2 linked regions of the Macaca fascicularis genome follow. The main gene of each other region encodes a partner of the protein of the gene in region 2 in a complex. Links are inferred from orthologs where the notes say so. Each region holds a gene or a part of one and is shown on either strand. Other genes may lie near its edges.

Region 1 (4,357 bases), on a different chromosome or scaffold from region 2:
CCTGGATGATGTTTGTATTTTTTGCAGAGATGGGGTTTCACCATGTTGCCCAGGTCCTGGGCTCAGGTGATCCACCCGCTTCAGCCTCCCAAAGTGCTGGGATTACAGGCATGAGCCACTGTGCCTAGTCAATATTTTCAATTTGTGATGTCCTGATAAACCCACTGTAAGTTGAGAAGTATCCGTACCTAAAGATAGCATCGGATCCCACAGAGTGAAGGCTCAGTCCCACAAGACTCTCCCACTTCCAATGCCAATACAAGCTTCAGGTTGTTTTATCTGTGCCTCTGACCAACCGGCTATAAATTGGGGTTCTCAGGACTGCTCCTTGGGTTCAATTAATTTGTTAGAGTAGCTCGCAGAACTCAAGGAGACACCCACTTACGTTTACCCGTTTGTTATAAAGGATATTTTAAAGGATACAAATAAACAGCCAGATGAAGAGATACCGAGGGGAAGCTCTGGAAGGTTCCGGCGCACAGGAGCTGCTGCCCTGTGGTGCTGGGTTTGCAGCCTCCCGGCCTGTGGATGTGTTCTTGTTCACCTTCCTGGAAGCCCCCGAACTCAGTCCTTTTGGATTTTTATGGAGGCTTCATTACACAGGCATGACTGATTAAATCATTGACAATTGGTGCTCTACTCAATCTTCATCCCTCTCCCTTCCCCAGAGGTGAGGGATGGGCCTGTAAATTCCAACCCTCAGAGCACCAGGTTTGTTCCCCTGGCAACCAACACCCCATCCAGTGGCTATCTGGGACTTTCCAAAAAATCGCCTCTTTAACATAAGCTCAGGTTTGGTTGAAATGCACTTGTTCCTCCTTAGTACAGCGGTTAGTAAAATTAACTAATTAAAATAAAATGAAAGATTAATCTAAAAGAAAGGGGCTTGTTATAAATAACAAAAGACTGTCTTTCACCTTTATCACTCTGGAGCTGTTCTGGAGCTGTTTCAGAAACCAAGGACGAAAGGTCAAATATTGTAACAAAACATACTCTTATTGCTCTAGTCCCTTAGGAAATTACATGGGTTATAAGAGTTGTAAGCCAGGAACACATCGCGCCCAGCATGGGGAGAGACGGAGAGGCAGTCTCCAAGGATCTGGGGGAAGACTTCGGCATGGCTCATTCCCCATTCCCAAAACGCCCATGTCTCAAAGCTTCCTCTTACGCATCCAGGCTGAGGCTCCTTGGGAAGGTTTGGAGCTGGAGAAGCTGAGTGACTCATGCCTAAGGGGCCAGTGCCATTCAGATTTATGACTTCCTTAAGAACAAAGATTATATTTTATTCACCTCAATATCCCACATCTGATGCTCCATAAATGGGTTTTGAATTGAATTGCTCCCCTCACATCACCTATCCAGGCCACCTCCTGACGTTTCCCCAGCACTCTTCAGCCTCCCTGCCCATTCCTTCCCCCACTCCATAACTTCACCTCTAAACTGTCACTTCCATCTGCTTCTCGGTCTATGATATCAAAGATGTCTTCATGAATTTTCTCACCCTGTATAGAGACATGGAAAGGGAGGGTCAGGCCAAAGGTTCCAGAGCGCATCTTTTCTCAGTACAGCACTGTCTACCCTGGAATACTGTTGCCACCCTGAAGCAAAGCCTAGGCTGTAGCCCTCAACCCAGAAGTGCTACTATTGCAAATGATTTGCACAAAATTTGCATAAACCTCTCCCTGGCTGTCCCTCTTGTTTGGGGAATCCTTTTGTCTCTTATTTTCTGGCAGTCTGGTCAAATTCCTAGTAGCTTGAGCCTCCCTTGCCTCTGGATGGGACTATCAAAGGTCTCTGGAATAGTCGCCCGGACACCTGGGAGAATCCACTGGCCCAGTTGTTGCCAGCTCCTCCTCCATGCTCCGACAGGTAGATGTTCTCTGGGTTGTAGAGCTTGGCATAGGGGGAGTTGAGGATGGAGTGGATCACCCGGGGCTCCAGGTCCAGCAGCACGGCCCGGGGGATGTAGTGCTCATCGTCTGCCTGTCAAGGGGAGTCCAGGAGGGGGCCCAATCAGCTAGGGTGGCCCAAGTCCTAAGTCCTCCCAACTCTGGCTCCCTCCAGCCCTCCCTCCTCAAGCCAGCCGCCTGGCCCCACTGCCCAGCAGGGTTCCCAGTACCAGGCCACTCCCTTCCCTTCTGGCCCCTCGGGCCATTGCCGCCCTTGGCCAAGTCGCTGGGGGCACCTGGTAGAAAAAGACGTCCTTGCGGTCAGTGCCTTCGGTGGCGAACTCCTCCACGATGCCCTCGGGGCTGATACCATGCTCAGCGCACAGCTGTTTCCAGAACTCGAACCCAACTGGGGGAGGGGGGAGATGCCCGGGTCTGCTGGAGCCTTAAGGCCTGAGGAGCCCAGTTTTAGTCTCAGAGGCCGACACGATCAGAGGGTGGACCCAAGATGCCTGGGTCTGGTGGCTGCCCCAGTCCCGGGCTGGGAGCGCAGCTCTCGGTCTGGGTTATCCAGAGCAGCAGGCTAGGGGGTTCATGGAAGGGGAAGGGGGACTGGTGGAAGCCAGGCACTTGGGTGGGACCCAAAGGGGCAGAACCAGAGACCGGTGGGGGCGGCGCTCGCTTGCTCACTCTGGTTGCCGCACTGGCCCAGCTGCAGGGTGATGATCTCCCGGGGCATCGCTCTTCAGACGTGGGCGCCCCAGCCCCGGCCTGGCGAGAGTCACGGCTGAGACGAATGCCTGGCAGCCAGGCGCGCAGGACGTGGGGAGCGCGCGCTCTCTTCGCCTCTTGACGCGGATGCTCGGTCTGCGCGTGTGCAGCGCAGGCCTCTCCTCGGCCGGTGGGCCGTGGAGCCCAACCTGGGCATCATTTTCTTCCTCAGCAGTCGCAGCTGGAATTCGGCACAAGCGCACAGTCAGGCCACGCCTGCTCCTGCCCACCGCTCCGCGCCTGCGCAGTGAGACTTGTTAGGGGTGGCAGGGTCGGAACATGGATGTGTGGGGGAGGGGAGGGGAGCGGAGGGGAGGGGAGGGGAGACGCGGGAAGGGGAAGGGAGGGGAGACGCGGGAAGGGGAAGGGAGGGGAGGGTAGGGGCGAAGCGACCAGGTGGACGTGCTTGTCCACGTGTAAGGAGTCACCTACCTATATTGGTAGGTGAGGACTCTGCCAGCTTTGCTAGGTCCAAGGGCTAGAAGCCAGCTTTTCTTCGTTTAAATTTCTATGTTTCAATGGTGTTACAATACATACACATGTATGTTACCTTTTCATTTTTTATTTTTTAGAAGTGTCTCGCTCTGTCGCCCAGGCTGGAGTGCAGTGGTAAGATCATAGCTCACTGTAGCCTCGAACTTCTGGCTTAAGTGATCCTCCCACTTCAGCCTCCCGAGTAGCTGGGACTACAGGCGTGTGCTACCACGCCCAGGTAATTTTTAAATTTTTAAAATGTATTTTTATAAAGATGAGGATCTCACCGTGTTGCCCAGGATGGTCTTGAACTCCTGACCTCAATCAATCCTCCTACCTCGGCCTCCCAAAATGCTGGAATTACAGGCATGAGCCACCACTCCTGGCCAAAATTTACCACTGTAACCATTTGTAATTACTGCATACAGTTCTGTGGCATCAAGTACACTCACATTGCTCTGTAACCGTCACCACCATTCTTTTCTAGAACTTTCTCATCTTCCCAAACTGAAACTCTATAGCGATTAAACAGTAACTTCCCCTTGACTACTCTAGGCACCTGATATGAGTAGAATTATACAGTATTTGTCTTTTTGGGTCTGGCTGCTTTCACTTAATATCTTCAAGATCCTTCCATTTTGTAGCATGTGTCAGAATTTCCTTCCGTTTTACAACTGAATAATATTACGTTGTATAGATGTACCACATTTTGCATAACCATTCATCCCTCCATGGACATTTGGGTTGCTTCCACCCTTTGGCTGTTGTGAATGTTGCTGCTTTGAATGTGAGTGTACAGATATCTGTTCGAGTCTCTGCTTTCAATTATTTTGGATATACACCCACAGATAGAATTGCTGGATCCTATGGTAATTCTGTTTAATGTTCTGAGGAATCGCCATATGATTTTCCATGGTAGCTGCAGCGATTTTATATTCCCACCAGCGATGCACAAGGGTTCAATTATATAGGAGGCTATTGGTTTGCACTGAGCTCCTGTGCTAGGCCCAACAGACCAAACCAAAATGGAGTCACTCATGCTAAAGTTCCATGTCACTAAGCAACACTAAGTTGTTTATCAAACCTTCAGAGGAATCAGGAGAGAGAAGGAACAGCCAAAACCCCAAACAGGCCAGTTTTAGCCGGCATGATACGGAAGTCCTTTCTTCTTTAACCTTTACAAGACAAGTAACTTTGAAATGACCAATCTACTTTTTTTTCTT
Region 2 (3,561 bases):
AAGAGGAACATGCGATGAATCTGCTGTCTTACTGGTTCTTTTTGTGGTCCGAACTGAGCAACTGTGTCTTGTTCACGGACAAGGCCTTCTTGAAGTCGTGGTTTTTCCGCAGTACTAACCAGTTCTATAAAAGATGGGAAGAGCACAGTGGACAGAAAGAGCATCAACTCAAGCCCCACTGCACCATGATGCCTGTTTTTGGCAGAAACTCGGAGGGATGTGGCCCTGGTACCACAGAAAGCAATGGCAGGGGTGGCAGGAACCGAACCTCAGTGCCTCTGGAAGAGTGGGGAAAGTTCCCTGTATCACTTTTCCTAACCAAGTTGTTGCATTTCAGATCAACTGTACATACAACTTCCTGATCTTTCTTTCAGGTATTTGACATCCGTAAACCCACTGCTGGAATACGCACCATTTTGGCATTTCTATACACATAAAAAAAGATCGACAACCACCAACCTCTTTTTTTTCTTTTTTCCAGATCTCCGTATGCTTCCCTTCCCCACCAACCTCTTTTATTAAGGGCTAAAATTAAATTAAATTACAATTTATCTGCTGAAAACAAATCTTACCACCAAAAAGTAAAACATCCAGACTATATTTTGCCCACTTTATTTGCAGTAAGAGAAGAAACACTTGATTATAAATTTTTTGACATTCCAAACTTATAACAATGTCCACGGGCCATGGGACCTATGAAACAAAAACACAATTAGAACAGAAATAACCAATTACTTGCATGTTTTAATTTTAGTAGAAAACACTGTTCATACAAATAATATAAGCATATACCTTGTAGCTGAGGGTCAGACCGTCTAAGATATGAACAGGCAGTTTCTTCTTAGCTGTGTCAACATTTTCAAAAGATATAGATAGACTAAAGAAAGAAATTTCAGTTTTAGTTTGTGAAAGCACTATGTCACACAAAAATCCTTTTAAAATAATTAGTATTTACACAATATTCCCCAAAAGATACTGCATTTCATAAAAGAAATGCAAACATTTCAACAAATGTATCTTTTCTAACATATATTCCAGAGCTGAAATTTGGATTTAGAAATAACAGAGAGGGGGAAAGCTTTTACATAATGAGTTTAGTTGTAGAAGAGACACAACAATGGTAGTAATTAGAAAAAAGATGAAGCTGAGGAAGACAGTAAACCTCAGGCAATGGCTGGGAAGATGAAGCCTCTGCTGAGGTTGGGGGTGGGCAGGGGAGGACGAGCAGAACAGCTCGAGGGAGCTTAGCATGCGGTGAGAGTATTGCTTTGAGAGCCCCATCAAGATGGGACGGGGTCTGCTTCTACACCAGAGGTGTTGTGCAGTGCTTCATCCACGAGTTCGAGACAGGTTTGAACATGACTCATATGGGAAAGCAAGCATCTAACATGGACATGAAAATGTCCAAGTGCCAGGCACTATTATGTGTCCTTAGCTCATTTAATCCTCAAAATAGTCCCATCAGTGGTTCCTGAGAAATGTCCTCTTTCACGGTCACAGAGGCACTAAGAGGGGATGCCTGCATGCATATGAAGAAGGTTTAAAGTGGGGAGTGAACTTCCACACCAGAGCTGTCAAAGGGCAGTGTGATTATGAACTGGCTGATTGTGACACAGGCACTAGTCAGAAATTTTAGCTCTCGGCCAGGCGCGGTGGCTCACACCTGTAATCCCAGCACTTTGTGAGGCCGAGGCAGGCGGATCACGAGGTTGGATCGAGACCATCCTAGCTAACACGGTGAAACCCCATCTCTAGTAAAAATAAAAAAAATTAGCCGGGCATGGTGGCGGGAGCCAGTAGTCCCAGCTACTCAAGAGGCTGAGGCAGGAGAATGGCCTGAACCCTGGAGGCGAAGCTTGCAGTGAGCCAAGATCGCACCAGTGCACTCCAGCCTGGGCGACAAAGCAAGACTCCGTCTCAAAAAAAAGAATTTTTAGCTCTTAATGGCCTGGTATGCACGCATTCACTCAGTGCTCAGTAGATATCTACCAAATTCAATACTAAGTTAGCTGCTGCACTGAGCAGGCAATAGAAAGCCACTCTCTCTTCCCTCCAGGGACTCCCAGCCCAGCGCAGCACATGAAGATGCAGGAGTGAGCAGACCTCTGCCGGGCCCAAGAATTGGAGAGTATGTCACAGGGAGGCGAGAGGACAGCACGTGCAGACACCAGAAATATTCTGAGATCCCTGAAATGCAAAGTGAGATAAGAGAGAGAACGTGGTGTGTATGGTGCAACACATGAGGCTGGGAAAACGGAGCCAGACAGTTAATAGCTTTCTCCCTTCTGAGACAAAGCTTAGTCCATTTGTTAGGAGGCACCCACGGCGAGCACACGCATGAGTGGTGGAAGTCACTGCTGGTGGTCTGAGGTCACTCTGGTGAGGGTCAAGTCTGTTTTGGTGGAAGGCAGTGAGGCTGAGAGAGACAGGCCATCGGGGAGGTCTGAGCCAGTTCTGTGAGGTCAGGGGCATTCTCTAGGAGGCGGGACTGATAAACCTCACGTGTGGGAGCTGAGAGAGAGGAAGCACTGGCTCCAGCCATGTGAAGGAGGCCACCAGACCCTGACAGGCTGGATGGTGGCAACTTTTTTTTGTAGGGACGAGGTCCCACTATGTTGCCCAGACTGGTTGCAAACTCCTGAGCTCAAGCAATCCTCCCAACTTGGCCTCCCAAAGTGCTAGGATTACTGGCATGAGCCACTGCACCTGGCCATATGGTGGCATCTCAACATCTTTTCTTGTTTAGCGGCAGACTCACTTAGCTGGCCTCTGCCTCAATTTTCTTTTTTTTAAAATGGAGTCTCGTTCTTGACGCCCAGGCTGGAATGCAGTGGCGTGATCTTGGCTCACTGCAACCTCTGCCTCCCAGGTTCAAGAGATTCTCCTGCTTCAGCCTCCCAAGTAGCCAGGATTCCAGGTGCCTGCCACCATGCTTTTGGTATTTTTAGTAGAGATGGAGTTTCACCATGTTGGCCAGGCTGGTCTCGAACTCCTGACCTCAGGTGATCCAGCGCCTCTGCCTCCCAAAGTGCTGGGATTACAGGTATGAGCCACCGTGCCTGGCCTCCATTTTCTAATAAGTAAAATAATATTAGTAAAACTCATAGGAATAGTATGAGAATAAAATAATCTGTGTAATTCATAGATGACTTATTGGCACACAGTTCATGTTATACTAATTTAAATAAAGGTGGCTTCCATAATTTACCGTGAACTATCCTCAGGATAACGCTGTCCTACTGCTTCTTGGAGTTGGACATTAAGAAAAGACACATTCTGCCATGTTTCCTTTTCTCTTATTTTATCAAAAATGGATGTGTAGAAGTCATACATGGTATCTCCTCCTTCCATTAAGAAAAAATTTCTCATGGCTTGCAAGTATTCTACCAACCTGCATGGAGATAAAATGAGTGACACAAAGATCTCTGGTGTTCGTAAGGCAGGATTCTGGATCAACACCAGGTTTTGTACCCTGTTTTTAGTGAAACAAGTTTACATTCTACATTTACTAAAATTAGAAATATTAACACCTCTTAGGCCGGGCGCGGTGGCTCAAGCCTG

The links. Proteins that work in one complex are often made in the same cells at the same time.
Region 1: TUBGCP5 (region 2) and tubulin gamma-2 chain share a complex: the UniProt entries of both Homo sapiens proteins name them as parts of the gamma-tubulin ring complex. The link is inferred for Macaca fascicularis from reciprocal best matches to the Homo sapiens genes TUBGCP5 and TUBG2.

Annotation. Positions count from the first base shown.
Region 1 is NC_088390.1:63,716,588-63,720,944, reverse strand, and holds the start of tubulin gamma-2 chain, read right to left. Parts: upstream 2,851-4,357; 5' UTR 2,629-2,850; coding exon 2,580-2,628; intron 2,299-2,579; coding exon 2,186-2,298; intron 1,984-2,185; coding exon 1,816-1,983; intron 1,503-1,815; coding exon 1,434-1,502; intron 945-1,433; coding exon 918-944; intron 571-917; exon of another isoform or gene 189-570; intron 1-188. UniProt on the Homo sapiens protein: Tubulin is the major constituent of microtubules, protein filaments consisting of alpha- and beta-tubulin heterodimers. Gamma-tubulin is a key component of the gamma-tubulin ring complex (gTuRC) which mediates microtubule nucleation.
Region 2 is NC_088381.1:483,234-486,794, reverse strand, and holds part of TUBGCP5 (gamma-tubulin complex component 5), read right to left. Parts: intron 3,392-3,561; coding exon 3,209-3,391; intron 3,074-3,208; exon of another isoform or gene 2,759-3,073; intron 878-2,758; coding exon 793-877; intron 694-792; coding exon 573-693; intron 125-572; coding exon 1-124. UniProt on the Homo sapiens protein: Component of the gamma-tubulin ring complex (gTuRC) which mediates microtubule nucleation.